Linked DNA regions of Sus scrofa. The protein of the gene in region 1 binds, or shares a complex with, the protein of each later gene. Links are inferred from orthologs where the notes say so. Each region holds a gene or a part of one and is shown in the gene's direction. Other genes may lie near its edges.

Region 1 (10,718 bases):
GCTCCCTCGGCATATGGAGGATCCCAGGCTAGGGGTCTAATCGGAGCTGTAGCCATTGATCTACGCCAGAGCCACAGCAACACGGGATCCGAGCTGCATCTGCAACCTACACCACAGCTCATGGCAACGCCGGATCGTTAACCCACTGAGCAAGGGCAGGGACCGAACCCGCAACCTCACGGTTCCTAGTCGGATTCGTTAACTACTGCGCCATGACGGGAACTCCCGTGTTTCCAGTTCTTATGAAGAACATGGAGAAATCGAATTCCACCGGTGAGGTCCAGAGTTCCCTGTAGCTGCTGCTGAGTTTCCAGCAGGTGGTGCACCTTGCACATCCACACTTCCTTCCTCATGCCCTTTGCAGGATGCTCTCCTGGTTGCTGTGCTGTCCTATGGAGATTTTTCTTTTTTCTTTTCCTCCATTCCTGTGGCAATGTGGAAGTTCCCGGGCAAAGGATCGGAGCCCTGCCACAGCAGTGACAATGCCAGATCCTTAACCACTAGGCCACCAGGGAACTCCTCTTTGGAGATTCTGGAAGTGGAAAGAATGTCGGTGCCGTAAGGAAGGACCAAAAGAATGGTGATTTTTTTTTTTCCCCATCCAGCTTTGGACTCAGCCTTCTCCCCACTGCTCTATACTCCTTTGGCCCCCCTTGTACTTTTCCTTGGAAAATATCCGGGTTTTTTTTTTGTAAAAATAGTACATGCTTGATGTTTAAGAAAAAGTATGCCATACAGAAAGTTACTGAAAAGGAAGGGCAGGCAGACCTTGGAGATACTGCAGTTTCATTTCCAGACAATGGCAGGGAAGCACATATCAAAATAAGTACATAAATAATATGAATATTGCGAGTCACAAATTTTTGGTTTCCAGTGTATATAAAAGTAAACTGCAGGAGTTCCTGCTGTGGTACAGTGGATTAAAAATCTGACTGCAGCTGTGCCTAGGATTTGATCACTGGCCTGGGAACTTCCATAAGCTACAGATGGGTGTGGGGAAAAAAAATTGCTTCCTAGGGATCAGCAGGAGGCTTAACCTACTGAGTGAGGCCAGGGATCAAACCCCACATCCTCATGGATGCTAGTTAGCTTCTTAACCCACCTGACAAAAATTGGCTTACAAAAATTGCTTCCTAGGGAGTTCCCATTGTGGCTCAGCAGTAACCCAACTCGTATCCATGGGCACTCGGATTTGATCCTTGGCCTCACTCAGTGGGTTAAGGGTCCAGCATTGGGGTGAGCTGTGATGTAGGTCACAGAAGAGGCTCGGGTCCTGAATTGCTATGGCTGTGGTGTAGGCCGGCAGCTAAGCTCTGATTCAACCTCTAGCCTGGGAATGTCCATATGCCATGGGTGCCAGCCATTTAAAAAAAAAAAAAAAAGTTCCTATAGCATATGTCATTTTCTAGCTTGTTTACTCTCATCTTAGACATTTATTTATTTATTGTCTTTTTAGGGCCGCACCCATGGCATATGGACCTTCCCAGGCTAGGGATATAATTGGAGCAGCAGCTGCTGGCCTACACCACAGCCACAGCAATGCAGGAGTTTTAACCCACTGAGTGAGGCCAGGGATCAAACCGCGCATCCTTATAGATATTATTCGGGTTCTTAACCCACCAAGCCAAAATGGGAACTCCAAGATATATATTTTTTTAACATGTCCCACAAATGGATCTATTTCCTTAAAGACTGCATAGCACTTATATTGATGACAGAATAGCATAACTTGCTCTATTCAACCAACCTGGAATGGACAGATAGGCATTGCCAGTTTTTGCTATCATGAACAATACTGCCTGGATAGCTTATTCTCATATCTTTGTGTGTATTTACAAGTTTTTCTCACAGGCTGAATTATTAGCTGACTCAAAGGAAAATATATATGTGCATTTAAGTTTTAGTAGATATTGTCAACATTCCATCTAAGAGTTTACATAACCTCACATACTAAGAAAATATGGGAGAGTCTTTTTCTCTACATCTTTGCTACCATTGGGTAATAGCAATTTTTTACAGTTTTGCCCATCTGCTCCATTGTTTGGATTTTGTATTTCTTGGAGTAAACTTGAGTGAGGTTGCACAAATGTTTATTGGCCCTTTGTACAAACTTTGCATTTTTATCTGGGCTGCTAGACCACCCTCTTTCTTTTTTTTTTTTTTTTTTTTTTTTTTTTTGGTCTTTTTGCTATTTCTTGGGCCGCTCCCACGGCATATGGAGATTCCCAGGCTAGGGGTCCAATCGGAGTTGTAGCCACCGGCCTACACCAGAGCCACAGCAACACGGGATCCGAGCCGCGTCTGCAACCTACACCACAGCTCATGGCAACGCCGGATCGTTAAACCCACTGAGCAGGGGCAGGGATCGAACCCACAACCTCATGGTTCCTAGTCGGATTCATTAACCACTGCGCCACGACAGGAACTCCTTTTTTTTTCACCCTCTTTCTTTCACTCATTTTCCCAGCCTCCTTCCTGGTCTCCTACTTATTTATTCCTTTCCATTCTATTCTCTACATGCTTCCAGAATAATCTTTCTCATAAGAAAATCTGATTACATTGGTCACCACTCAAAATATGTCAGTGACCATACAGCCTGCAGGGTAAAGAGCCTATCCTCCTTAACCTGATTTAAAAATTCTTTTAGGAGTTCCCTGGTGGCCTAGTAGTTTAGGATCTGGCACTGTCACTGCTGTGGCTCTAGTCACTACTGTGGTATGAGCTCAATCCCTGGCCTGGGAACTTCCAAATGCCACAGATGAGGCCAAAAAAAAGTTATTTATAATCTGGTTCCTGTCCCATCCCAAATGTCCATTAATTGAACACATACTAAGTACAGACACCCCATGGGTGTTGGGGACCCAGAGATGACCCAAATAGGCAAATGTCTGCTTTCTGCAGCTGGCATTCGTGAGCAGTTTTTCTCAACTATTTTTTCATTATTGCTCCTTTCTAGGTGAGAAATGGAATTATCCTTAATTAATTAATTTTGTCTTTTTAGGGCCACACATGCAGCATATGGAGGTTCCCAGGGTAGGGGTGGAATTGGAGCTATAGCTGCTGGCCTATGCCACAGCAACATGGGATCTGAGATGGGTCTGCAACCTACACCACAGTTCATGGCAACATCAGGTCCTTAACCCATTGTGCAAGGCTACGGATCCAATCTGCATCCTCATGGATGGGAGTCAGTTTTGTTGTTTTTTAATTTATTTAATTTATTTATTTGTCCTTTGTCTTTTTAGAGCTGTACCTGTGGCATATGGAGGTTCCCAGGCTAAGGGTCTAATCAGAGCTACAGTTGCTGGCCTACGCCAGAGCCACAGCAACACCAGATCTGAGCTGTATCTGCAACCTGTACCACAGCTCACGGTAACACCGGATCCTTAACCCACTGAGCAAGGCCAGGGATTGAACCCACAACCTCATGGTTCCTAGTCGGATTTGTTTCCGCTGCACCATGATGGGAACTCCTGGATGGGAGTCAGTTTCGTTTCCACTGAGCCACAACTGAACTCCTATCCTTAATTTAAATCAATTTAATCTAATTACATTTAATTTTCCCCTAACAATAGAAATTAAATATTCATAAGTAATATTTTGTCCTGGAGGGTTGGCTTAGGAGGGCTATAAGCCATCACAATGTCTAAGGTTTTTTTTTAAGCCATCTAAGAATTTATTTTGGCTCTCTTGGGAGCCATATCACTCCCGTTGAGAATGCTCTAGGGGGACAGCTGGATTATAAACAAGTAAATGGAAAAGATTATATTAGAGAAGCCAAGAATGTTACTAAAGGAGGGAGGGATTTTCCCCAGTGGCTCAGTGGCTTAAGGATTTGGTGTTGTCACTGCTGTAACTCTGGTCACTGCTGTGGCACAGGTTCCATCCCTGGCCTGAGAACTGCCAAAAAAAGAAACAAACAAAAAAAGATGGAGTTCCCATAGTGGCTCAGCCATAAGGAACCCAACTAATATCCATGAGGATGTGGGTTCAATCCCTGGCCTAACTCACTGGGTTAAGGATTCAGTGTTGCTGTGAGCTGTGGTGTAGGTCGCAGATGAAGCTCAGATATGGCGTTGCTGTGGCTGTGGTGTAGGCCAGCAGCTGTAGCTCCGATGAGACCCCCTAGCCTAGGAACCTCCATATGCTGCAGGTGCAGCTCTAAAAGGAAAAAAAGGAAAGGAGGGAGAATGGTTGAAGGGGCCACTTGACTGCTTGATCATTTTGAATCAGGAAAGCTCTTCCATCGCTTCTCGGCCTTTTGGCTAAGATCAAGTGTAGGAAAGCTCTTCCCAAACAAGGAAGACTAGCTTTGGTTTCTTCAGCTGTAAAATGGAAATAATTTTCTCTCCACAGTTCTCGCAGAATTCAATAACTGAGCTTTATTGCTATTAATAACTTTTTTTTGTCTTTTTAGGGTCGCATCCACCACCATGCAACATACGGAGATTTTAGGGCCTAACCCACACCCGTGGCAAATGGAGTTTCCCAGGCTAGGGACTGAATCATGGCTGTAGCTGCTGGCCTACGCCACAGCCACAGTAACACAGGATCTGAGCCTCGTCTGTGACCTACACCACAGCTCAGAGCAACGCTGCATCCTTAACCCACTGATCAAGGCCAGGGATCAAACCTGCATCCTCATGGATTCTAGTCAGATTCATTTCCACTGAGCCATGATGGGAACTCCTGTTATTAATAACTTTAAATTTTTTAAAAGGTAAATGAATTAGAAAACTATATATAGAACTACCATATGACCCAGCAATCCAACTCTTGGGCACATATCCAGAGAAAACTGTCCTTGAAAAAGATACATGCGCCCATATGTTCATTGCAGCACTATTTGCAATAGCCAAGACTTGGAAACAACCTAGATGTCCATCGACAGATATGGATTAAGAAGATGTGGTATATATACACAATGGAATACTACTCGGCCATAAAAAAGAACAAAATAATGCCATTTGCAGCAACATGGATGGAACTAGAGACTCTCATACCAAGTGAAATAAGTCAGAAAGAGAAAGACACATACTCTACAATATCCCTTGTATCTGGAATCTAATATATGGCACAAATGAAAGTTTCCACAGAAAAGAAAATCATGGACATGGAGAACAGACTGGGGTTACCAAGGGGGAGGGGGAGGGAGTGGAATGTACTGGGAACTTGGAGTTAATAGATGCAATCTATTGCCTTTGGAATGGATAAGCAATGAGATTCTGCTGTACAGCACTGGGAACTATATCTAGTCACTTATGATGGAGCATGATAATGTGAGAAAAAAGAATGTATACATGTATGTGTGACTGGGTCACCTCGTTGTACAGTAGAAAATTGACATAACACTATAAACCAGCTATAATGGAAAAAATAAAAATCATTAATTAAAAAAAGAAGATAAATGAGTTCTTGCTGTGGTGTTGCTGGTTAAGGACCTGGACTTGCTACAGCTGTGACATTGGTCACAGCAGCGGCTGGGATTTGATACCTGACCGGGGAAACTTCCATACGCCACCCGCGGGGCCAAAAAAAAATGGTTAGAACTGCGCCTCTACTCAACTACCTAGTACCAGAGCCCAGCCTCTAATAAGCCAGCGCCTCTACCTCTGTCCACAGGGCGGCACTGTGGGCGCAGCGGCCGGGCTGCTCTAGGCGGCAGAACCGGAAGTCTCGTTCTCCCCACCTTCCGGTCTTTGGCCCAGGCTTGGGCTGCGTGGGGAAGGTTTTAGCTATGCCTACCGGAGACTTTGAGTGAGTATGAGGTCGTGGAGGGGGGCTTGGGAGGCAGATTGGGGGTCCTAGGGCGTATTATGGGGCTCGGGTGCCCCGAGGCCGTGGGATCCGGGCCTCGTCTCACCCAGCCTTCCCCCGCGGCAAACTTGTCCCCGCAGTTCGAAGCCCAGTTGGGCCGACCAGGTGGAGGAGGAGGGAGAGGACGGTGAGTTTGCCCTGTTGCCCAGGATCACCGCAGCCAGCCCCCAGCCCGTCACTGCCGCCTGCTCCAACCCCACCACCCCGACCCTGGCGCCGTTGTCTGACCCAGAATCTCCCTTCACGGCCAGCCCCTGCCCCGCGCCATCCTCATCAGGCCAGCCTGTATCTCCCATTACAGTTGTTCACCGGCCAGTCCCTCTTCCTCCCATGCCACCGTCAAAGTCCTTGGTACCAGCCTAGCTGCTCCCCTGCTCCGGGGAGGAAGTTGTCACAGCCTCTCTCCTGTCTTTGTACTAGCACGGGGATGCCTTTGGCCCGCCCCTGCCTTCATGCCTGGGATCCTCTATGCCGGGCATTGCTGGAAGTCACTACAGTCAGCTCCATGTCCCTGCACGACTCTCCCAGGACACTTCCTGGCTAGTCCCCTACCCTTGGTCCCACCTTTCTTAGCTCCCGGGAGGGGCATCATCCCAAAGGTCCCTCCATTTCAGCTTGGGAGCTCCCCCACCCCCCAGCTGACCCCAGCTCCCCACACTCCCTCTCACAGACAAATGTGTCACCAGCGAGCTCCTCAAGGGAATCCCTCTGGCCACCGGGGATACCAGCCCGGAGCCTGAACTACTACCGGGAGGTGAGTGACAACCTCCCCGCCATCCCTGGGTTGCCTCTTCCCCTGCAGAGTTCCTGCCTGGTCCCCAGTACCCAGGGCTCAGTTCCTCTGTCTCTCCCCCTCTCCCAGCTCCACTGCCACCTCCCAAGGAGGTCATCAATGGAAACATCAAGACAGTGACCGAGTACAAGATAGATGAGGACGGCAAGAAATTCAAGGTGAAGGTTGGGGGAGGAGGTAGATGCCCTTTGCTTGGGGGCTCTTGGACTAGGAGAAAGTGGTGTGTGCTGGGTGGGTTGATGAGGAAGATACCCTGGCCCAGGCCCTCGGAACCTTAAGGAGCAGGAAGCTCAAATTTCTCCCCTCTCCTACCCACAGATTGTCCGCACCTTCAGAATTGAGACTCGGAAGGCCTCAAAGGCTGTGGCAAGGAGGAAGGTAAGACCCTCCTCATCCTGTCTTGGGGCCTCCCCCAGGGCTGACTCAGAGAAAATAAGAATCCTTTTCCCCAGTGCCTGTATTTATTTGGCTATGCCCGGGGCATATGGAAGTTCCCGGTTTACGGGTTGAATCAGAGCTGCAGCTGCCAGCTTACACCACAGCTACAGCGACTCGTGATCGTAGCCACACCTGTGACCTAACCCACAGCTCAGGGCGATGCCGTGTCCTTAACCCACTGCGCAAGGCTGGGAATCGAAGCCATGGATACTGCTGAGCCATAATGGGAACTCCTTAACTGTACCAATTTTGTTGGAGCGGAACTGAGGCCTAAGGGTGTTTGCACTCTGTCGGGGTCCTGAAAAGCCCAGCATGTGCAGGAGTAGGGGGGGTTGTCCGCCAGCAGAAACAAAGCCAAGTCCTCCCCTGAGATGGTCGTAGCAGAAAAAGTCATGGCAGTAAATACATTTGGCACAATTACCTGTGCGCTTTCTCTGCGTTAGACCCAAGCTCTTTGCAGGAAGCGTTTTCCCATTCAGTTCCCCTGGAATTCCAGGGAGGTGGGGGTCCATTGGGGTCCCTTTTCCTGGAGGAGGCAGCTAGGGTTCAGATTGCTTAGCTAGCTCTGGGCCCCTGGAAGTCTGGGTGACCCCTACGCACCCTTGAGCATCACTCCCTGGTAGGAGCTGGTCCGCTACCTGCACCACCCCAGCAGGAGTTGTTGGCTGTGGAGGGGATTGTCCCTGAGCCTCAGTCCTCTAATCTGGAGCATGGAGCCTAGAGCTGCCCTTGCCTCTGGAACTGGTGTGAAGCTAGGGCCTGGCATGCGCTCAGGGAACAGGAACTGTCTTTGTCACTGCTCTGAGGGTCATTTGGGGGAGGCTGGAGAATGGGGTTCAAGGCCCTGGAGCAGACATTGTAAGTCTAGGGAGCCAGCAGAGGGGTCCTGCTTGGCCTTGCTCTGACTTGTCTCTCATCCCACCCTGAGCTCAGAACTGGAAGAAGTTTGGGAACTCAGAGTTCGACCCACCAGGGCCCAATGTGGCCACCACCACGGTCAGTGATGATGTGTCCATGACATTCATCACCAGCAAAGAGGTAAGTAGGCCAGGAGGCTGGGGCCAGTGGCCAGGGTGGTGGCGGCAGTGGCGGGGGGTGCGGCAGTCCCGTCTGAGCTGCCTCTGCCTGCCCTGCCAGGATCTGAACTGCCAGGAAGAGGAGGACCCAATGAACAAGCTCAAGGGCCAGAAGATCGTGTCCTGCCGAATCTGCAAGGGCGACCACTGGACCACCCGCTGCCCCTACAAGGACACACTGGGGCCCATGCAGAAGGAGCTGGCCGAGCAGCTGGGCCTGTCTACTGGCGAGAAGGAGAAGCTGCCTGGAGGTGCTGGGGCCTGGGGACTCGGGGGACAGGGATTGTGTTCACCTCCAGGAGAGTTGTAGGTTGTCACCTGCTGTCTGAACAGGGCCACCGCTGTTGGCAGTTGTCATCTCCCACACAACAGCAAGGCTGCAGCCACAGTCCATGCTTGTGTGTGTGTATGAGAGAGACTGGCGGTGGCTGCTGTGACTGCTGGCGATGTCCCCTGTCCTCTCCTCATTAGGGGCTGTGAGAGCGGCTCGTGTAGGCTTGCACATAATAAATACACTTTGCCTGCAGTGTCTGCATGCACACACCCAGGGCAGACTCACTCATGTGACTGTAAGTTTGAGTCTGGACAGCTCTACGCCCCTGACTTATGTGTGCGACTCATTTGTCACCTGCCGTGTGTGTGTTGGGGGACAGGGGGTGGAACCTGGGGACTGTCCCTATCCCGTGTACCTGTATTTGTGTTCCTATGTTGTGAGACTGGGTGTCACTGTGGGTTCTCACTTCTTGTGCTGCTGGCGGGTGTATAAATGACGTCGGCTTCCCGGATGTGACTTTTAAGTTGTGGCCCTCAGGCCTCGAAGGGCCCAACCGTGTGTGTGGTTTGACAGACGGCTCTTGGGCTGGATGGTGGCCAGAGCTGCCGGCATCCTGGGGCAGATGGGTCCCTCCATCTGTGCCGGGAGAGGCTTGACCCGACCTTGTTGTCCTCCAGAGCTGGAGCCTGTGCAGGCCACACAGAACAAGACGGGCAAGTACGTGCCTCCAAGCCTGCGGGACGGGGCCAGCCGCCGCGGGGAGTCCATGCAGCCCAACCGCAGAGGTGAGGGCACCCAGTTGCCGGGCCGGCGGGGGCGGGCACTTCCCTGTATCCTGTGATCATCCCACGGGCAGGCGCGGCCCCTCACAGACACCTCTCCTTGCCCACTCAGCCGATGACAATGCCACCATCCGTGTCACCAACCTGTCTGAGGACACTCGTGAGACCGACCTGCAGGAGCTCTTCCGGCCCTTTGGCTCCATCTCCCGCATCTACCTAGCCAAGGACAAGACCACTGGCCAGTCCAAGGTGGGCTGGTGGCCATGGGGATGGGGAGGGATCCTTGGTCCTGTCTGTGCCCCATGTGCCCCTGACTCCACCCCCTCCTCCAGGGCTTTGCCTTCATTAGCTTCCACCGCCGTGAGGATGCCGCCCGTGCTATTGCTGGGGTGTCTGGCTTCGGTTATGACCACCTCATCCTCAACGTCGAGTGGGCCAAGTAAGACCCCTGCCCCTCCCCCCACACAGCGTCACTGCTGACACTCAGGCTGGCTGCAGGCCCTGCACCAGGTTAACATTCACCATGCCTGTCCTGGGGCACAGATCATTTATTGTCCTTTTCCTCTGGTGTGGAGGGTTGGGGCAGGACCAGGCTGGTCACTGCCGGTCTGTCTCTTTGTGTGTCCTGGGCCACCACCTTGTCTCACTCTGCCCCACCCCCCATCCCTTTTGAGGTCCCTATTGTGTGTGGCGGTGGGGGGTCTTGGGATTCTCTTAGGGGTATGAAGCCTCTCCGCTAACCATTCTCAGCCACCTCACGTCTCTCTCTCTCTCTAGGCCGTCAACCAACTAAGCCAGCTGCTGCTGCTCCGTCCCCAGCCCTGGGATCCTTCAGTGACCGAAGGCTGGGGGCAGGGGTCTCCAAGGGTAATAAAAAATCTCCAGTTGCCCAGTGCTGTTCCATTTATTCACAGATGTCGCTCACACTGTTGGGGGGTGGGGCCATCCTGCCCTCCTTCCTCCCCCTCCCTGATGTGGGTTTATTTCCTGGCCCTGTCCAGAGTTGGTGCTGTGGCAGAAGTTCCTGCCACTCTGGCTTCAGTGCTCCCTGGTCCCACTCTAGACCTTTCTGTGGAGGAGTACGCTTAGGGCCTATTGAGGATTCAGGGCCAGGGGCCTGCTGTGCTCTCAGCCCCTATTCTTTTGCCAGGTCCCAGGATCTGGTGATGAGGAGGGGGCTAGAGATGGTCCAGGTCATGGGCTCAACTCAGGGGACTGGGGCCCTGAGGTTTTGGGAGTAGCTGTGACATTGAGTGGCAGGGATTGGCTGGAGCACTCGGCCTTCTCCGGGGTCTGGCCCTCCCTGCAGCCAAGGCAGTGTTGGCGGCAACAGCCCAGGCTGGGCACCACCGCCATGTAGAGCAGCGGGTGGATGCAGATGGCCAGGGGGATGAGGCCCCGTGTTACCTGGTAGGCCACATATGTCCTCCAGTCCAGTGCCTTCTCAGCCTGGGCTGTGCTTGTGAAGCCTGGGCAGAGGGCCCTCCAGCGCTGCCGGGCATACACGTTGAGCACCTGTGTGACATAGTAGGGCACAT
Region 2 (10,004 bases), about 41 Mb from region 1:
CTTCTGGCCTGTAGTGTTTCTGTAGAGAAATCAGGTGATAGCCTTATATGGGTTCCCTTATAATTAACTGTTTTTCTCTTGCTGCCTTTAGAATCCTCTCTTTATTTTTAAATTTTACCATTTTTAATATAATGCTCTTGGTGTGGGCCTGTTGGGGTTCAGCTTGTTTGGGACCCTCTGTGCCTCCTGTATCTTGATACCTGTTTCCTTTAGATTTAGAAAGTTTTCAGCCATAATTTCTCCAAACATATTTTCCATCCTCTTTTACTTCTCCTTCTGGAATCCCTATTATGTGTAGATTGGCCCCCTTTATATTATCCCATAGATCTCTTACATTGCTGTCATGTTCTTTCATTTGGTTTTCTGTCTGCTGTGCTGATTGTGTGATTTCCAAGTCACTGATATGTTCCTCTGCATTATTCATTCTGCTCTTTGGTGCCTTTAACTCAGCTTGCTTCTCTGCAAATGAATTTTCTAATTTTTCTTGGTTCCTCCTCATATTTTTTAGTTTTTTTCTAAAGTAATCTGCATTACTGTTCATATCTGCTCTTGATTCTTTCAGTATTTTCATTACCTCATTTTTGAACTTGGTGTCTGTTAGACTGCAGAGGTCTGTTTCATTGTTTGCTCCTTCAGGTGAATTCTCCTATTTTAACTGGGAATGGTTCCTGAGTTTCTTCATTTTGCTTGTATTGTTGTTCTGTGAGTTTAGGGAAAACAACTACTGTAGTTTTGGAGGTCTGTATGTATGCGTGAGCACCCCTGGGGTATTTTGTGAGGGCTTACGATTTCTTTTTAGGGTTCTGGGTGTGCTTCCAGAGAGATGGAGGCAATGGACAGGGCTTGTAGCCAGTGCCTGGTTGCTGGGTCCTTGACAATGACAAGGACCTGCAGGAAGGTTGTGTAGGCTAATCCTAGTTGCAGGGCCCTGGGAAGTGATAGTGACCCTCAGGCAGGTGTAGTTGGTACCCAGAGCATTTGGCAGTGAGAGCAACAAAGGGTGGTGCTTGGTTGCAGTGCTGACCTCTGAGATGACTGGGGCTGTAGGTGGTGCCTGTTCATGGACCCCTAGTGGTGGCAGGCCATGCCCACTTCTAGAGTATGAGATAAATGAGTTTGCCCCTGCCACCTGTATACCACACAGGAGCGCCCTGTTGCGCTTAGCCTGTGCAAGAGGGGCCCGTCGCCTGTAGCCCCACTCTCAGAGTCGAGGCATGCGCAGAGAAAGATATTCCTATGGTGGTCTACTCCTCTTTCTGCCCTCCCCAACAATAGCACCTTGCTTCTCCTGTGGGCCCAGATCTCCCAGTTTCCCTTGGCTGTGGCATTCCGCTCCACAGCCCTTGGTGCACCAGTCCCTAACGCCCCTCAGGCTGTCTCCACACAGCCAGCTCTAGTCATCTCCCTGGAACTGACCTCCAGAGCCTGAGTCTCCACACCCAGCCCCTGCCCAAGCATCTCAGGCTGTGGTGTCTTGGGAGGTGATATTGATGGTTTGTGCGTGGCTCTCTCTCTCTGCTTTGCCCTCCTCAGTCCAGCTGCTGTGCTTTTCTCTGTGGCTTTGAGGTCCCTCCGTCTTGGCTTATCTGTCAGTAGGCTTCCCAGGGGTGGGTTCCTTTCCTCCTTCACAGTTCCCTCTCAGGAGTGCTAGTCCCGTCCTGATTCCTTTCACTCGCTCTCTCTTTTTCCTTTTGTTCTACCCAGTTATGTGAAGGGTTTCTTGCCCTTTTTGGAGGTTTTTAAAGTCTTCTGCCAGCATTCGGTAGATGTTCTGTGCAAATCATTCTGTATGTAGGTGGGTTTTTTTTGATGTGTTTGTGGGAGAAGGTAAGCTCCATGTCTTATTCCTCCGTGATCTTGATCCCTGAGTAGAATATCTCTTTTAAAAATAAATGGCATGGATTTTATTTTACCCGGGTTGAATCCAGATGTGTGTGTGGGAGATGGGAAGATTTTTAGAAAGCACAAAGTGGGGAGGGGAATCCCAGCTACTTCTCCTACTTAGCAAACTTGCTATAACTGGCTGAAGATTCTTCAGTTTAAAGGAAGAAATGAAGGAGGAACATTATTATTAAACATTTTCTAGGAGTTCGAGGTGAATGAATGCCTTTAATTATTTTGTTCTTTTCCCTGCAGTTAAAATGGATAATCTACATAATTTTAATTTTAAAGGTGTTTGTAAGGATGTCATTAGTGGAGTCGTATAAATATTTGGTCTTGGCTCACCTTCAGCTATACCAAAACAAAACTTTTTTCTCACCTAGGGCCTTTATACCTAGTCTTCTCACTGCTTGAAAAGTCATTCAACTCTCACATTCCACCTCTAGCACTTTTCATGGCCAGTTATTTTATATCCTTTAGATCTCAGCTTATATGTCATTTCTTCAGAGAGAGACTTTCCCTGCTCATTTTCCATATGAGGTAGTCTTTTCTTTCCTATCTCTGCTCTGATGACTCTATTACATCACCGTTTATTTCCTTTTGGCACTTACTTTTTGTTACTTTTCCTTAGTTGCCTCTTTCTGACTAAAAGGAAAGTTCCATGACCTTTCCCCTAGAGGAGGACTGTCTCTCTGGATCATCATTGTATGCATCATCAGCACAGTACTTGGCACTTAGTAAATATTTTTGAATGAATGAGTGGCTGTAATGACACTCTGAAATTCCTAAAGCTGTATTTCTTTTCAGTGATGCTGCATCAAAAGTCATGGTGGAATTGCTAGGAAGTTACACAGAGGACAATGCTTCCCAGGCTCGAGTTGATGCTCACAGGTAACGTTAAACACTGTGTTCCAGTGACCGCTCTCAGCAGGGTGGAGGTGAGCTACAGTCTTCAGTCATGTGACTGAATACATCCACCAGTGATCCAAAGCCATTTGATACCATGTGCTCTTTGATGATTCTAATGTAGATACCAAAATTTAAGATTTGGTGTTGAGAGCACCATAGGATACATTTGAAATGACCACATGGTGTTTGTTTTCTTGGGTTTTATGGGAATGGCAGTTCTCAACATGAGTAGTAGAACCTAATCTTGGGTCAGTTTTACCTTAATATTCAGCTGTGTAGATGGGGGAAAATGGGTGGCTTTCTAAAAACTTAGAAATCTATGAAATAGAAAATTAAGATAACTTCTTTATAGGGCTCTTGCTTCACAATAACCTGTACATGATAGGTGTTGGTGGAAAAGGTCTCTGACTCTGAGGTCACAATGCCTGCTCAAGTGCTTGACCACTTAATTAGCACTTCCTGGTTCTTTCTAAGCTAGTTTCATCATTGATAAAATGAGCGTGTTAATAGTGTATGTGCCTCAGGATGCTGTGAGGATGAAACGAGGTGATACATGTTAAAGCACTTACCTTAGGGTCTGGCATATGGTTAAATACTGCTGTTGTATTTATTGTTTGATTACTCTCCAGCTATATTTTTGTGTACAGGTAATTTTATTAAAATGTATAGCTGATAGATTGACTTTTTTTAACCCTAATCTTGTAGCTTTTTCTTATGATGTGTATATTGAACTCTCAGATATTTTACTTAGTTGAGTGTATTTTGCAGTCCACAAAGGCAGTGAAAAGTACCTGAATTTCAAGACTCTGAGCTTGGATTTTTGTTTTCTAATTAAGGTGTATTGTGCGAGCATTGAAAGATCCAAATGCATTTCTTTTTGACCACCTTCTTACTTTGAAACCAGTCAAGTTTTTGGAAGGCGAGCTTATTCATGATGTAAGTAGTTTATCTGTAATGTGAAAAATGTTCTTTTCCCCTAAATCTAACATACTGAGCCAGAACTCTCTTGATATTAATGAACATGACTATTAGATCTGGAAAGAGAACTATTTATTCATTCTATATCAGGAACAGACTGAAATTTAGGACCAGCATTAAGGGTTTCTCCAACCACTGAACACACTCCTGTTCCTCTTCCCCTTTCCTTCATCTCCTCACTTTCCTGGCCATTATTAACTTAGTACAAATTTCTTTTTAGCATACAGTGTCAGCTAGCTCCAATTAGCAAGATAAATCTGATATTTGAAAAACACAACACACTTTTCAAATGAAGTGTATTTTGGGCTGTTTTCTATTTGTACTATGTCATTACCACCATCTCTTAGGGTACACTGTTTAGAGCTCACTGTATCTACTTATTCTTTCATCTCAGTTGAGTCTGATAAAAGCAAATGGTTTAGATATTAATTTGATCAAACAGATTGAAATTTCTGCCAGAAAGAAATGCGTAGTCTTGTTGCTGGGAGTTAGTGTCTTTTTAAAAATATCTTGAGCATAAATCTTGATTCCATTGTGACAGGTTTTTTTGTTTCTATCTGTTTAGCTTTTAACCATTTTTGTGAGTGCTAAGTTGGCATCATATGTCAAGTTTTATCAGAATAATAAAGACTTCATTGATTCACTTGGTAAGTTTTGAGGATTTTCCTTGGGGGAGGGGTGGTAGAAGAGAGTGATGGGAATGTGAGATCCTAGCACATATGAACATGGCCTTATGTGTAAATTAACCTAACCAGTGACGTCAGGATCTTATTCCTTAGGTACATGGTGATTCACATTTTTGGTACTTTAAAAGCCATAGTCATAATTGTAACAAATAGCTTTTTTCTTCTTAGGTAGTATCTTTTACTCGGTTGGCTCCCCCCCGCCTCCATTGACAAATTGTATAAGTATTTTGTATTGCTAAGAAGATACAACTAAGTGAAATTGTAGATGGGGTTAGAAATGGAATTGTAGTGGTTTTACATGATAAAAGAAACTTTTCTAATTACACTTTGTTGAAGATAGCATAGTAAGTCTAAACTTTGATTTTTTTTGTTTTGTTTTGGCCACCTTGCAGCATATGGAGTTCCCAGGCCAGGGGTCAGACTTAGCCAGTTGTGACCCAAGCTGCAGCTGTGGCAATGTCAGATCTTTAACCCACTGTGCCGGGCTGGGGATTGAACCTGCACCCCAGTGCTGTAAGATGCTGCTGATCCCGCTGCACCAGAGTGGGATGCTCATAAGCTTTGTGATTTTTATCTTTGAGTTCTCTTTCTAGAGCATCAAAGCTCACTAATTGTTGCCAAATTGGATTTACTCATCCTCACTGAGCAAACTGCATATATATTCAGTATTTCCTCCTCGAGCATGTTTTTAACATGCCGAAATTACAGGGAGAAAACTTAGAAAATATTTAGTTGAACAGGTTTAAATTGTTCTAAACCCATTTTTAAAGAGTGACATCAACTGAAACCAAGTACTCTGTTTTTCTACTAGGTAATAATCAGAATTAGAGTCTAGTGATATTTTCCATATTAAAGTTGAATTGTTAGTCTTCCTGACTGAGGTGTAAAGAATACATTTATAATCTACTTTGATTATACTATTAGTCCTCAATTTGGTAATCTTAATTCCCATCACCTGTAAATTCTGTGCAGCCATTGGAATTGGGAAAGATTGAATCATTCTGAACATAATAAGCATTTGAAATACACCAATATAAAGGAGATGCAAGTGTGTTTGTGCTGAAGGCTTTGCCAGGTGCACTAGACCCAGAAAACCACATTCTGTCCCAGTTAATTTGTTTTGTGGCATGAGCTATGTGATGGAATGTTAATGTCAGCAACCTCTTTATTTACGCACCAAAGAAAAAGGAGTAGTAATTAACACTTTGACACTCCCCCATTGATGTGTAATTGACTGTTTCAAAGGAGCACTGGTTCATAAGCTATTGCATGCATTAAAATTACGTTTTCTATATTGCAGCATTTTAAGACAGGGGTCAGTGACAATGCAGAAATTGTTCAATGATGCACATTTTTTTATTACTGCATTAAGGTTTTGACATATTAGTAATGAATAAATGTTTCCATAAAATTAGATTTTTTTATAACTTTAAAATTGAAATATGGCATAGAACACTGACTTCATCTTTGAAGGTAATGTTCTACTTTCATGAAACAAAGCACAGCTTTCCTACTAGTCTTCTTCACTGGCTTAATAGTTTGATTTTGAGAACAGGAGTCTTAAATGCTTTAAGTTTGGTTCTTTGTTTTAAAGTACTAGTGACTTTAAACATCAGTTTAAGTGTTTTTAAAGTCCCGTTTCCACATGTAAGGTCGTGGTTTTACATAATTGATTCTAGAAATAATCTTCAATCCTCTGATAGGTTTTTTGATTTATAGTAAGTTGTAACTGCACAAAGAATAGCAGTAAAATTCAACTGAGACTATTTCTAATGATAGCTTAGAAATTTTAGAAGTTTTATCATATTAAAAGAGAACTGTGTCTGTAGAATTCATAATGTTAAGGAAATATTCTTGTATTGCCAGATAGTGAGAAAAATCTTAAGTATTTGCTGTCTGTGGTAGGGGAAACATAATAGCATCTTTCATTCATTGTACGAACCAGAAATCAGTTTCCCTGTTTTGCCTTTTGTTTCTTGCAATCTGTGTGAATTAGAAATCATTTATTAGAACTTTGTCTGTCTTTGAGAAAGACATTAAGTATGTATTTTGGTTTTAGATGTATCATTAAACATTTATTACAGCTGAAATTCTGGTTAAAATGTCTGGATTCCACAGGTGGCATCAGTTTATCTCAAAACACTTTGTTTTATTAACACTGACAACTTGGGCCAACAGTAGCACTATCTTGTGTCAACTGAATTGCCCTAACATGTCCACATGTAATCTGGTGTTATCCAGTTGCTACCTTCTTGTTTCGGAAAGTTAATCAGCATCTAATTTGCATTTGTTAATTAGGGTTAATGTGCACTAATTGATTTTTTGATGCTTGTAGATTTCCATTAAACCCAGTTAGCAGTACTTACTTGGATACCTCATTCATTTGAGTTATGATGATCATGTTTTTGTTGAATCTGTGCCAAATAGAAAGCCTGCATTATAATTACAGCTAATTAACAGACGATTATGTCCTGTATTAATGGGCTTCCCCAGGCTTCTGCTAATATATGAATGTTACAAATTTCAGATTTATTTATGGAGTGCTTAGAACTTTTTTAACAATACAACTTGAGGCTCTTAATTACTTAAGGGTTCCTGATCAGTCATTTGCTGAGTTTACATAATCTTAAATTTCAGAAAAAAGAAACATGTAAATCTAGATTAATTTTAGAAACTTGTTTTTGTAATTAAGAAATTAGCCTCAAATGAAGTATATTTGATGGGTTATATTGCAGCTTCTTTTTAGGAATGGGTAATAATTTAGATGTTCAGGATTTGTAGATAACTTATATTTCTAGTGATTTATAAATGAACTTATTTTCTAGGCCTAGTACTGCCACTTTGTAACTAATAAGTCACTTAATATCTTTCCTCTGCAATTTTGTGTTTTAAGAGATAGGATTGGGACTAGGTAATCTGTTAAATTTCCTTCTAGGTCTAACAGTTATTTGTGATGTGAGTAATTGTAAATAGAATGTTTCACTAGAAATTACAAGGCAAAATTTGTACTTTTCTACTTTAGCTTAAAAAAGTATCACTGTTAATTTATCTAGTACTAATCATTTTAAAACTGTAAATGTTAAATGATAAACATACTTTTGCAGTTCTGACTTTTTTAAGTATTAAAGTATTTTAAAACTCCATATTTACCAGTAACACTGATACAGAACAGATAGTAAGTAATCTTGTATTTAAGAGGAGAGCTATTAGTAAAAACAAGCTTAAGCAATTAAATAAAAATGTTTATGAAATGTACTTTGTGTACTCTATCTCATAAATTGTATAAATATTAAAAATTAAAATTACATAACTTTTAGTGCCTAAAAATACCAATTGATAGCTCATTCTTAACTTTGAACTTAATCACCTCTGACACTGAAGCAATAAAGAAATGCGTTTATAGAGAAATAATTTTAGGTGCTCCATAATTATGGGGTCAGTTTATGGTTTGCAAATACAAGAAACTTTGTGAAACTTAATTCTGTATACATGCTCACGCACAGTGACTTCCACACTTTAAAACAAGGGTTGTGTTGTGCAGGTCTTTAATAAGAGTGGATTCTTACCTGGCTTCTCTATTGTGTTACTCAGGCCTACTACATGAACAGAATATGGCAAAAATGAGGCTACTCACTTTTATGGGAATGGCAGTGGAAAATAAAGAAATTTCTTTTGACACAATGCAACAAGAACTTCAGATTGGAGCTGATGATGTTGAAGCATTTGTTATTGATGGTAAGCAACTGGAACATTTTCATTTTTTTCCTAGGATTTCTCCTACCCCATGGAAAATGAGATTTTTATTCTTGAAGCTGAGCTTTATGCTAACATTGCTAGATCCTTTTGTAACAAATGTGTTATGTTTAGTAGGTTAGCAGATTATATTTGTCGTAGATTGAAAATTCAGTGGAAACATAAATTGCATGTATTAAGGATCTGGCATTGCTGCAAGCTGCGGCATAGGTCACAGATGCAGCTTGGAGCTCCAGTTCTACCCCCAGCCCCAGGAACTTTCATATGCTGCAGGTACAGTTGTAGCTGTGGGGGAAAAAAAAAAAAAAAAAGCCTAGATTTTAGAATCAGACCTACATTCGAAACCACATCTTCCTCTAGGAAACCAGAATATAGGAGTTAATTTGTGGTTGTGAGGATTAAATTAAGATGGGTAAAAGCACTCAGCTCAGTGTCTGTCACATAGTAAATGATCTGCAAATGTTAATCATGATCAATTTTTTATAATTGGCCTAGAATTCTTCCCCAGTAATTGCATTTATTGTAAAGTGATTTAACTGTTAATTAGGATTTTTTTTATGTGGTTTTTAAGAGTAATGTACAGAAATGTTGATAGGCTTCTTTCTAATGCTTGGTTTGAGTCTCAAGTAGTCCTATAAAGAACTAATACCTTATTAGGGGAACCCCCCCCCCTTTCCCTGCATGATTGCAGGAATAGGACCCTAGAATTCTTTTTGTTTTTTTAAATGGCCACAGCTACAGCACATGGAAGTTCCTACCACCAGATCCTTTAACGCACTGTGACAGGCCTGGGAGCAAACCTGCGCCTCTGAAGAGCAACACAGGCTGCTGCAGTCGGATCTTAACCCACCGCACCACTCTAACCCACCGCACCACTCGGAACTCCAGCACTAGAATTCTTAATGAATACCCTCTGTGATATTTAATGCAGATAGGCCTAGCAACCAGAGGACAGATGCATTGCTTTCCTTTTGATTGCATCATATTGTTATGCTTGTTGTTAAATTCAAAGAGCCAGTTTGTAAAATAATGTTGGAAAACTGTAAAGTTTATTATGGCTTATGGTCACAGTTTCATTCCTTTAGGCTATTTTTCTTAGGAATTTCCCATATAACATGTCATGTGTAAAACATCTTTTTTCAGCGGTGAGAACTAAAATGGTCTACTGCAAAATTGATCAAACCCAGAGAAAAGTAGTTGTCAGGTAAGACACTTAATACTTCACAGCATTTTGTAGAACAATTTAGTTTGTTCGGATTATTTCACTTAAATGTTTAGAGAACCCAAGGTGGTGTTCTTATCAGTTGACTGTAGTTAAATAGTTGCTATTCATCATAATTTTATTAAAGTTGAGACTGAATGTGATTAGCTTATTTAATGAAAGAGTCCTATTTTCCAGCACATTTCATTTAATGGCTCAGCACTGGCCAGAATACTAATGACTTCTGTGTCTGGTTTATGTAGTTCAGGAAAATAGATGGTTTAGGATCAATATGGCTAAATTTTTTTTTTTTTAAATAAGCTTCTTATTCTCTTACAACTCTAAATTGTCTTCTATGTGTATTTAACCTTGTTTTTAACTAGATACAAGTCAGTAATACTGTAAAAGAATACCAGAGGATAAAAGGTTGGCTAATAACTTTTGTTTTTAATTTTTCCAGTCATAGCACACATCGGACATTTGGAAAACAACAATGGCAACAACTGTATGACACACTTAATGCCTGGAAACAAAACCTGAACAAAGTGAAAAACAGCCTTTTGAGTCTTTCTGATACCTGAATTTTTATGCTATAT
Region 3 (10,543 bases), on another chromosome or scaffold:
GAATTGGAAGGATACAACGTTTTTTTGTTTGTTTGTTTGTTTGTTTTAAACTTACTACTTAAACCCTTTTTTCTCTGGCTACTTTTTTTTTCCCCTGCTTTTCTTTTTCAGCTGCATTCACAGCATATGGAAATTCCTAGGCCAGGGATCAGTTCCAAGCTGCAGCTGTGACCTACACATGTCACAGCTGCAGTAATGCCAGATCCTTAACCCACTGCCCCAGGCCAAGGATTGAAACAGCACCTCCACAGAGAGAAACGGGATCCCTAACCCACTGTTCCACAGCAGGAACTCTTTCCCTGGCTACTTTTTTTTTTTTTTTTTTTTTGTCTTTTTGTCTTTTTGCATTTTCTAGGGCTGTACCACAGCATATGAAGGTTCCCAGGCTAGGGGTGCAATCGGAGCTGTAGCTGCCAGCCTACACCACAGCTCACGGCAACGCCGGATCCTTAACCCACTGAGCAAGGCCAGGGATCGAACCCGCAACCTCATGGTTCCTAGTAGGATTTGTTAACCACTGAGCCACGACAGGAACTCCCCTGGCTACTTGTAAGTACTGAAATCCTTCAAGGTTTCTTCTCATTCTATCCTATCTTCATACGGCCTCTACTCTCACATGATTCCATCTACCACTATCATCAGATAACTCCTAATCCACTGTCTGTAGCTCAGAGCTCTCCATGTATACTAGACATTTCTACTTGAATGTCTCATAGTAATGTCAGGATCCATGTGGCTAAAACTCATCCTCATTCCTTATTATGATGAGAAACACCAGTCATTTTCAGAAACATTTATGGAGCATTTACTACATGTGAGGCACTGGGAATACAGCAGCAAAGAACACAGACAAAATCCCTGTGCTCTAAACAGATATTAAATAAGTAAACAAGATCACTGGAGATTGTCATAAATCTATGACAAAAACAGAGTGATGAGCTAGAGTAATTGGGTGAGGCCCCTTGCTGGACAGAGATCAGGGAAGTGCTTTCTGCAAAGGTAACATTTGAACTTTGGGTTTAAGGAGGAAGGAAAGCCATGTAAAGAGGTATGGAAAGAGCACTGTAATACACACATGATATATAAAATAGATAACCAACAAGGACCTACTATAGAGCACAGGGAATTCCACTCAAAATACTGTAATAACCTACATGTGAAAAGAATCTGAAAAAGAGTATATATATGTATCACTGAATCACTTTGCTGTATACCTGAAACTAAGATAAATTCAAATATACTCTGGTAAAATTTCTTAAAAAAGAAAGGAAGAAAGCAAGAGCACTGTAGGTAGAAAGAACAGCAAATACAAAGTCCAAAAATAGGGAAAGGCTTAAGCAGCCTCAGAGGGCCAGCAGCAATGATATTAATGGGAAAGAATGGCATAAGAGGGTTGATGGGAGGCAGGATTTCAACTGGGAGGAAGGGGTGTGATGATCTGATTTGCATTTTTTTTTTCTTTTTTTCTTTTTAGGGCTTCACGCTCAGCCTCAGCGTATGGAGGTTCCCAGGCTAGGGGTTGAATTGGAGCTGCAGCTGCTGGTCTAGGCCACAACCACAGCCACGCCAGATCGGAGCCTCATCTGCAACCTATACCACAGCTCACTCTGGATCCTTGACCCACTGAGCAAGGCCAGGGATCAACCTGCGTCCACATGGATACTAGTCAGATTCTTTCCTACTGAGCCACAGCAGGTATTCCTGATTTACATTTTTTAAATAAACTGCCTGGTGTGTAGTGAACGGATTGTGGAGGGGGAAGAGTAAAAGAAAGAAAACAACTGGAAGGTTGTTATAGTAGAAGAGTCTATAGAAAGCTTGGATTAAGGTGGAAGCACGACACAGGGGGATAATTATATAAATTCAAGATTAATACTGGAAGTAAATTGCAGACCTTGGTGATGGTCTGAATTTAAGGGGTAGATGGGAAAAGAGAGCAAGGATAGCTGCCAGGTGTTACCTCCACTCACTCAGTGTCCAAAGGCATGATCCTCTACTGCTCCCTTCCCCTCCTCTTCCATATCCAGTCAGTCACTATACTGGGATTATTCATAGAAACAGAACCAATAGGATGTGCACGTAAAGGAAGAAAGATTTATTTTAAGAAATTGGCTCACGTAATTGTGGGAGTTGGCAAGTCTGAAATCTGCAGGGCAGGTCAGCGGGCTGGAGACCCACAGAAGAGCTGATGCTGCAGAGTCCACGGGCAGTCAGGAGGCAGAATTTCTTTTTCCTCAGTGTTTTTCTTAATGTCTTCAATTGACTGGATGAGACCCATCACGTTACAGAGTGTAATTTGCTTTATTCAAAGTCTGCTGATTTAAAGGTTAATCACAAACAAAAAAACATATTCACGGCAACAACTAGACTACTGTTTAACCCAAAACAGTACCATGGCCTACCCCAACTGACACAAAATTAATCACCAGTCACTAAATTCTGTTGATTCTGACTTTTAATTATTTCTCACATTGATTCCTTCATCTCTATTGCCATTGCCTTACTTTAGGGTTGTAGTCTCACTTCATAAAATATTTACTAATGTATTAGATACTGTGCCAAATGCTGGAGATAAAACTTTGAATAAAAACAGATTGTGCCCTAGGTACCTTACATTCTTCCTAGCCTTTCCTTGCCACCAGTCTTGCCTCCTTCCAATCCCTCTTTATAAAGGGATTAAAGCCTCTCATGCTTCACAGTCATCCACAGATTTTTTTTTTTTTTTTTCTTTTTAGTGCCAGACCTGTGGCATATGGAAGTTCCCAGGCTAGGGGTCCAATCGTAGATACAGTTGCTGGCCTATGCCACAGCCACAGCCACACCAGGTCAGAGCAGCAACTTCGACCTAAACCAAAGTTTGCAGCGACAGCAGATCCTTAACCCACTGAGCGGGGCCAGGGATCCACCTGGCAACCTCATGGGTACTAGTCAGGTTCTTAACCCACTAGACCACAAAAGGAACTCCCCATCCTCAGATCTTCTTAAAAGGCAGATTCTGATTCTGGGCTGGGATCTAAGATTCTACATTTCTAACAAACTCCCAAGTGTGGCTGATCAGGAAAAAACTTTGAGTAACTGGGCTGCAGAATATCTTTTGGAAGACCATCTTTATAAAATGTGGTCTATTTGTAGACTCACTGAAAAAGATACATAAGAAATGGGGAACACTGGTTGCCACCAGAAAGAACATAATGGCTGATCATCCTATATACCCATTTGAATGAATGTTGTACCAAGTACGTATGTTACATATTCAAAACTAAGAAATTAAGAAAACAACAAAAACAAAAATATGTTTAACAGCTCACCTTTTAAAATCCTGAAGTGGAGCTCAGTGGCCCAAGCTAGGTGCAGCTTAGCTCATCTTAAACCCTTTAGTATTATAAATTTATCTTTTCAGCTTATCTCTGATTGCGCCATTCAGTCAGAACAGGGACCACAAGCATAAAAGGCACTGAACACATTTCACTTGGTTGGTCTTTAAAACTCTTTATCGGCCTCACTTACCCTCAGGTAGCCTTTCATATATCCTACCTCTCTTCTCTGCGGTTAATGCTATCCTTTTACACTAAACCTCACAATGCCTTTTTGTTGCAGTCATCTCACTGTGTCGAAATTTGTTTATATGTCTATACTTGAGTGAGCGAGGACAAGGCTAGAGCTTACGCTTAGCGCAGATCGAGTTCCGAAATTATTCTGCGAAAAGAATGAATAATGTATTGACTTCAGGGGGCTCACAGGAAGGAAAAATTCTTGAACATGGGGACTCCCTTCCATATCTTCGTGACTACCTGGAGGCAAACGTGCCAGGAGCTGACTGAACACCCTGACTGGGAAGACTGCCAGGAGCTTGGCCCTCTCTATTCGCTTCTTCCTGGCCGCCCCATGCACCACCGGCTTCCAGAGGGATCCCGCCTCGTTCCGCCAGCGACCGCACCCTCCTGGGGTCGGGGAGCCAGGCGACTGCCGCCACAGGCGGGCTCGGCGTTCAGAGCCCACTTCTGAGTGCCGCGTGGAGAGGCTGCGGGTTTCCTTGGGACCAGCCAGAGGCCAAGGGTGGCGATCCATGTGAACAGAAGGAGGGCGCACCCGACCGGTCCGGGCGGGTATGGGTTAGGATGGCAAGGGCAGGAGAGAGCCAAGCACCGGGAAAAGGACTGCCCTGCTAACTTCGCCGCACTTACATTTTTCTCCCCAGGGCGTAGGGTGGCTGCCTCCTAGCCTCTTCCTCTCTCCCCACCCCACTAGCAGACAGGACCACCCTGCTGGGTGCGTGGGGTACTGGACGCTCCGCCTCGCCCACCGCGTTCCACGCCCCCTTCCCGCCCGCGAGAGCATCGCCGCCGCCGCCGCCGCCAGAGGGGGAGGAGCCTGGGCCCCGGCGTTAAGTCAGCCACAGTCCCAGCCTGCCCCGCGCCGGCAAACGAGAGCAGATCCAGTGACTCACTGCCGCGCTAACTCCTCGCTCGCTGTCGCCTCACACACGCTCATACCCGGCGCGAGATGGCGGCGGCGGCGGCGGCAGCAGCGGCGGGGGACTCCGATTCTTGGGGTGAGGAGAAGTTCCGGGGGTAGGCCGGGGCTGGCGCCAGCCCCACGCCCAAGCAAGCTTTAACACAGCTCGCTCTCTTCCGTAGACGCAGACACGTTCTCCGTGGATGACCCAGTGCGGAAGGTGGGGGGCGGCGGCACCGCCGGCGGGGACCGCTGGGAAGGCGAGGACGAGGACGAGGACGTCAAGGTGGGTGCGGGTCGGGGCTCCGGCCAGCGCGGGAGCGAGCTGGCGCCGTCGCGGGCCGGGGTGCTCGCCGAGGGGCGGTCGGTCGGACGGACTCTGGGCCCAGAGGCGCCGCCCCGGCCTGCGGGCTGTGGGTCTAGGCGCAAGCGTAGGGCCTGGTGGTGCCCTGTTCCCCTCGCTCGCCGGCCCTGGGGGCCGGAGGCCGATAGCGTGGTCTCTCGGATTTCCTTGGCGAGGACGCCAGCCCCATCCCTTTGAAGGACCGCACTCCGGCCTGGATCCCACTCGCCAACTGGCGACGGGAGGTGACAGCAGAGGCTGGACCGGCCCACGTGCAAACTTCGCGGTCCGGAGCTGCTCTTCAGTGGTGAGACTGGGAAGTTGAGGATGGAGCCTCTGGCTTATCCCATATGGAAAGTCTTGCACCCCATTGCTTTTTCGAGCTCAGGTTTCCCCAGGCCAGTAACTCATTTACATCCCAAGCTTCATTTGAAGAGTTTGTTCGAGCTGTTAGAGGAGTGAAATATTATGATTTAATTTCAGCCACCTTTTTTTCCCCCCACGCAAATGAAAGAATTTTTAGCTTCCTTTCTCCCACCCTATGGTAAAAGGGTGAACTGAGTATTGAGATAGCTAGCAGTTAGTGGTCAGAAACCTGGGTAGTCCACACAGCGACCTGAAAAATGGAGAGGTTTACAGAGTGAGTTTTTAATAACCTACACACGAAAGCATAAGGAAATAATGAAGATTTGAAGGTTGGAGAAGACGAGGGAGACAGTGATTTTTTGTGTGTTTTTCCTATGCCTTATAGATTTGAACCCAACTTACTCTCGCTGTTTGTTTATGAAAACTCCTGGGGGCTCATCATAAGACTTCAGATGACATTATGACTACTGCGTTTTGTTTTTGTTTTTGTTTTTGTTTTCAAGTATCTACAGAGTCTCAAGGGTGGAATGTTAAGACTTATTAACTAAGTTCTCAAATACTTCATTTTTGTGAAAATCAAGTTTTGTATGATTTGGAAATTTTTTTTATGGTTTTGATTCATTTGGTGAATGTTTACCCTTCAGCTCACTTTGACAACCCTACAAGTCCTTCTGCTTGTGTTGAAAAAAATTTAAGCTAGATAATCACTATGAGCTTCATATTAATATTGCCTTTTTTAGATTGTACCCTTTTCTCCTGAATCTGATGAGGTGGATGTTCAATTCATTGAATTGCCTGAGGTTCAAGTATGATTTGAGTTTTGCAGACCTTGGGATTAATAAATGAGCAATAGTATTGTGAAGATACTTAGATGCTTCATTTACATGTTGTGTAGACATGAGAATGGATTGTGTTAGCCTCATTGCAAGATACTAGTTACCTCCCTACGTGGTGGCAGATTTTCTGTCTTGAACCTTTAGTTCAGATTTATCCTTTTACTTTTTCTGTGCATAGTGGTTGTAGGAGTTAAGACATCTGTTAAGAAAATTAGGAATGAGTGAGAAGAAACAACTAGAGAAATCAGGAAAGAATTACCAAAATACGAAGTTTGAATAAAGTAGTCTGGATTAATATCATGAGGTAGCGTGCCTGAAATTATTTGATATAAATGCCATCAATCCTGATAAATACAGTTCTAGCCACTTGAAATTAATTTTGGACATTTTTAATTGGTGAGGGACCATAAAGATCATCTTGTCCAGTCATTTTTAAGTGCAGAATTTCTTTCTTTTATACAAATAGCGTACTTCTTTTACAGAAACTTTGATGTAGATCTTGGAATAGAAAGCTGAACTTGTTCATTTTATTTCCATGTTGAAATATTGGTTTATTTCTGTTTAGTTTCTCCAAAGATTTCTAAGATAAGGTATCCATGGAGTAGTTTGATTCCTGGAATTTGGAATCAGACAGACCAGAATCTATGCTGTTGTCTTGACATTTTCTATAAAGAATTTTTAAATTTTTTAAGTTTCCCAGTCTTCACAGAAGCTACCTCAGGAAATTATTTTGCATTTTCTATTTTTTGGGGGGTTTTGTTTTTGTTTTTTGCTTTTTTTAGGGCTGCACCTGCTGCATATGGAGGTTCCCAGACCTTTGTTCCCAGACTAGGGTTCTAATCAGAGCTGTAGCTGCGGGCCTACACCACCACAGCCACAGCAACACCAGATCCCAGCCGAGTCTTCGACCTACACCACAGCTCATAGCAATGCCGGACTCTTAACCCACTGAGCGAGGCCAGGGATTGAACCCACAACCTCATGGTTCCTAGTCAGATTCCTTTCCACTGTGCCACTACGGGAACGGGAACTCCTTTTGCATTTTAAATGAGATAATGTGTCAAGCATTAAGCATAGTTACCTGGCACTTGGTAGGCGTTCAATAAATGTTAATTCCGTCTCACTTGAGGATGTAGTCTTAATTTTTCTGGTTAATGGAAAATTTGTTAAGGCTGTGTAGATCTAGTAGCTGAGGGTTATTTTTGTGCCACAGTTTGTGGTTTATTAAGCTTGAAGGAGTAAGTTCTCTCCACAATGGCTGTTTACTGTGAATTTGTTTTGAATGGAATGACCATGGTTATCAAGCAAGTTTTTGCGTGCTCAGAGGTTACCAATCTAGAGTTGAAATTTGTCACCTTCAATGTTAGTGAGTACAGGTTTTCCCTGCTACCCCCCAAAATAGAGCATTGCTATGAAACCTTTCCTAAGCTAAAAGAAGCAGTTAACCTTAGGACACATCTTGCTAACAGATGCACAAAATAAATCAAGATAAAGCACAAATGCTTACAGATACAGTGCAAAGCTGTGTATGGTACCTTGATGCTGAGATACTGGGTAGCTTGGGAAAGGAGCTTAGCAATGCAAGTCTTGCTGCTTGGGATGCACGCTGCCTCTCTAATGGCTCCTGGCAAAACAAATGCTGAATACTGTTTTCACTTGTCACAAAAGCAAAAATCCTCTTTGGATTTCTTTCATCTAGTGAACACAGGTGCCAATGTAGGTATTCATAAAAGCGTTCCGAAGTGGTGTAAAGTGAACTTTCAAAAAGAGGGGTAGGAGTTCCATGGCTCAGAGGGTTGAGGATCTGGTATTGTCACTACAGCAGCTTGAGTTGTTGTGTGGCGTGGGTTTGATCCCTGGCCCAGGAACTTCCACATGTCGTGGGTGCAGCCAAAAAAGGGATAGCTATAATACCAAATTTCTGAATTCTCATGTTTTAGCACTTAATCCTTTTGTAAGGGGATGCAAGCAAAGTTTAGTTTCCAGCAGGAAAAATACTCCTAGTCCTTAAATAATACTGTATGTGAATTTTTTTAAAAGTCTTCAAAAGTAAAGTATGTAGAAACAGTTAAGTTCTTCAGTTTATGTCAGCATCCAGTGTTTATTTAAGAGTATAGGTTTAATGTCGTTTGTAATGTCCTGAGAAATGAAAGGAAAACTGAGGTCTGTGTTAGAGTAACTTGTTCCAGTAGTTTACTGTCTTTAAGTAGACATAGCATTTTGATGCCCTTGACTTTGCAAGGAGCTGTCTGAAAGTGACAGAGTGGATTTGGGTGAAACTATAGAACTGTTAATATTCATGAGGGAAAGCCCAAGCTTCTTCCCATTTAAGGTGAGAATTAGGGAGTTCCTGTTGTGGCGCAGTGGTTAACGAATCTGACTAGGAACCATGAGGTTGCAGGTTTGATTCCTGGCCTTGCTCAGTGGGTTAAGGATCCAGCATTGCCCTGAGCTGTGGTGTAGGTTGCAGACCCGGCTTGGATCCCTTGTTGCTGTGGCTGTGGCTGTGGCGTAGGCCTGTGGCTGCAGCTCCAATTAAACCCCTAGCCTGGGAACCTTCATATGCCTTGGGAGCGGGGCTAGAAAAGTCAAAAAGACAAAGAAAAAAAGAAAAGTGAGAACTAGGGAGCGTACTTTCCTGTCAAATTATTTTCCCTTTCTTATTATCCTCCTGATGTTATGCAGAGGCAGTGGGGAGAATTGTTTGCTTGGCATGTATCTCTGGATTCTTTCCGTGTTGCTGGAATGATGTGTAGACTGTTAAGAAGGCAGTGAGTATCCATCCATTGGTGCAAGCAGGAACAAAACAACTTTTACTCCATTTTACTAGTTTCCTGTCATTTCAGTAAAACATATTCGAAGCTACATTTATTCAGAATGTGTAGAGTTTGTTTTTTGAGTTTTTTCTTTTTTTGCTGCCCCTGTGGCATGCAGAAGTTCCTGGGAAGATCCTAAAGAACTGACTTAATAGAAAACTGCCTGCCTTATCCTACCCATTGAACTGCCTGTTAGACTTCAATCCTGTTTAATAGTTTAAATATACTAGAGTAAGGACATTTTTCAAGCTTTGGAAACAGCACTTCTGAAGTAAGGGATCTACATTTCAGAGAAATGGGAGATTGTTGGGAAATTCTCAGAAGGTGGGCATTTTGCTAGGAAATGGTATCTGCAAGTATGTGTGTGTAACTTCTTGTGAGAAATAAGTACAAAGAAAAATTTAGTAAACCCATGACCAATCTTATTTCTTCTATATCCCCAGTTACTGCTCTCCTCTCCCAACCAGATTATTTTGAAGACAGTACTAACTATATCATTTCAATACCCTAACAGGTTTTATAAACTAGGAAGTTTTTAGTTAGGAAGCATGTTTGTTACTGAAAAATACTTAACCTCATTTAATTATCATGCTGTACCATTGAAAATAAATACGCCACTTGTTTAGTGTTCATTGTCTTATTCTTGACCTAGCTTAACCAAGAATTTGATTGATAACAGTTCTGAATATGAGAGAAGTTGGCATCAAGATGGAATTCAGCTGAATGCTAAGCCATAATAGGATGTTGAAAACTTAATGAATTGAATTAAATGAAGTAGAATTTATTGAGGCGGGTACCATGGCTTCTAGAGACCAGCATATTTCTGAGGTGATGGAAAAATATTTGGGCTTCTTTTAAAAAGTAGACTTTGCTGGTAGGTCTGCCTATGGCAGGAGCTCACTAGAGTTCTGAAGTCTGTCAGAGTAGGTTGATACAGCTTACAGAAAACCAGTAAAAGACGTTTCCTGCAAGAGATTATGCTTTATCTAAGCCAAACTACTTAAAAGAGGAAAAGGAGGGAGGAGTATATTTCAGTTAATGGGTTATTGCTATGGGACAGAAGAATTTTACTGCTCATTTGAAGCTACGTCTATTTGACGATCTATAAATATATCTTGCTTAAGTTGGAAAGCATTTTCAGCCCTAAATGTGTTCTCTCATTGCATGTGACATTGTGTAGTTGTACATTGTAAAAATGACAGACTAACCAAATACTGGCTGCATTATTAGAAATAAAAAGAAAGGATTTAAAAAATTTGTTTTGTTTCAGTTCTTATTCATATTCGATTGGGAAGCAGGCTTTAAACTTGAAAAGCAGCCATCCCTTTCAGAAGAAAACAGCTCAAATGATGCTGGGTGTGTATCTATAGAACAAGAGTATAGATAAGTGGGTAGTTTATAAATAGTCTCTCTTCTAAGGAAACTAGGCATTTTAGGAGAGTAACCTGGTTGATACTTTGAGAGATAAATTGGATATTATTTTTAGAGGATTTATTGGCTACCAAAAATAATTGAGTGAAGAATTTAATTGGATATTGATAGGTAATCTCTTGAACCAAAGAGTCATTTAGGGCTTACTAAATTATAGATTTACTCCCTATTTCAAGAGTTAATTTTAGGTGTTTCTCTAGGAACCTTGCATTTTATCTGAATTGATTGTTAGCATTTACAAAATTGTGATGTTTATGGAAAATTGGGCAGATTTAGATATCCTACTTTTTATGTAC

The links.
Region 2: EIF3G (region 1) and EIF3M share a complex: the UniProt entries of both Homo sapiens proteins name them as parts of the eukaryotic translation initiation factor 3 (eIF-3) complex. The link is inferred for Sus scrofa from reciprocal best matches to the Homo sapiens genes EIF3G and EIF3M.
Region 3: EIF3G (region 1) and EIF3J share a complex: the UniProt entries of both Homo sapiens proteins name them as parts of the eukaryotic translation initiation factor 3 (eIF-3) complex. The link is inferred for Sus scrofa from reciprocal best matches to the Homo sapiens genes EIF3G and EIF3J.

The regions. Positions count from the first base shown.
Region 1 is NC_010444.4:68,965,575-68,976,292, reverse strand, and holds EIF3G (eukaryotic translation initiation factor 3 subunit G), read left to right. Parts: upstream 1-5,644; 5' UTR 5,645-5,737; coding exon 5,738-5,757; intron 5,758-5,897; coding exon 5,898-5,944; intron 5,945-6,487; coding exon 6,488-6,571; intron 6,572-6,679; coding exon 6,680-6,768; intron 6,769-6,928; coding exon 6,929-6,988; intron 6,989-7,981; coding exon 7,982-8,086; intron 8,087-8,185; coding exon 8,186-8,375; intron 8,376-9,075; coding exon 9,076-9,183; intron 9,184-9,292; coding exon 9,293-9,429; intron 9,430-9,512; coding exon 9,513-9,619; intron 9,620-9,957; coding exon 9,958-9,973; 3' UTR 9,974-10,072; downstream 10,073-10,718. Other genes in the region: P2RY11 (P2Y purinoceptor 11), read right to left, coding at 10,375-10,718. UniProt on the Homo sapiens protein: RNA-binding component of the eukaryotic translation initiation factor 3 (eIF-3) complex, which is required for several steps in the initiation of protein synthesis.
Region 2 is NC_010444.4:28,258,562-28,268,565, reverse strand, and holds part of EIF3M (eukaryotic translation initiation factor 3 subunit M), read left to right. Parts: intron 1-2,688; coding exon 2,689-2,772; intron 2,773-3,626; coding exon 3,627-3,726; intron 3,727-4,333; coding exon 4,334-4,415; intron 4,416-8,045; coding exon 8,046-8,189; intron 8,190-9,350; coding exon 9,351-9,411; intron 9,412-9,868; coding exon 9,869-9,989; 3' UTR 9,990-10,004. UniProt on the Homo sapiens protein: Component of the eukaryotic translation initiation factor 3 (eIF-3) complex, which is required for several steps in the initiation of protein synthesis.
Region 3 is NC_010443.5:127,013,091-127,023,633, reverse strand, and holds the start of EIF3J (eukaryotic translation initiation factor 3 subunit J), read left to right. Parts: upstream 1-4,369; 5' UTR 4,370-4,503; coding exon 4,504-4,552; intron 4,553-4,637; coding exon 4,638-4,741; intron 4,742-10,543. UniProt on the Homo sapiens protein: Component of the eukaryotic translation initiation factor 3 (eIF-3) complex, which is required for several steps in the initiation of protein synthesis.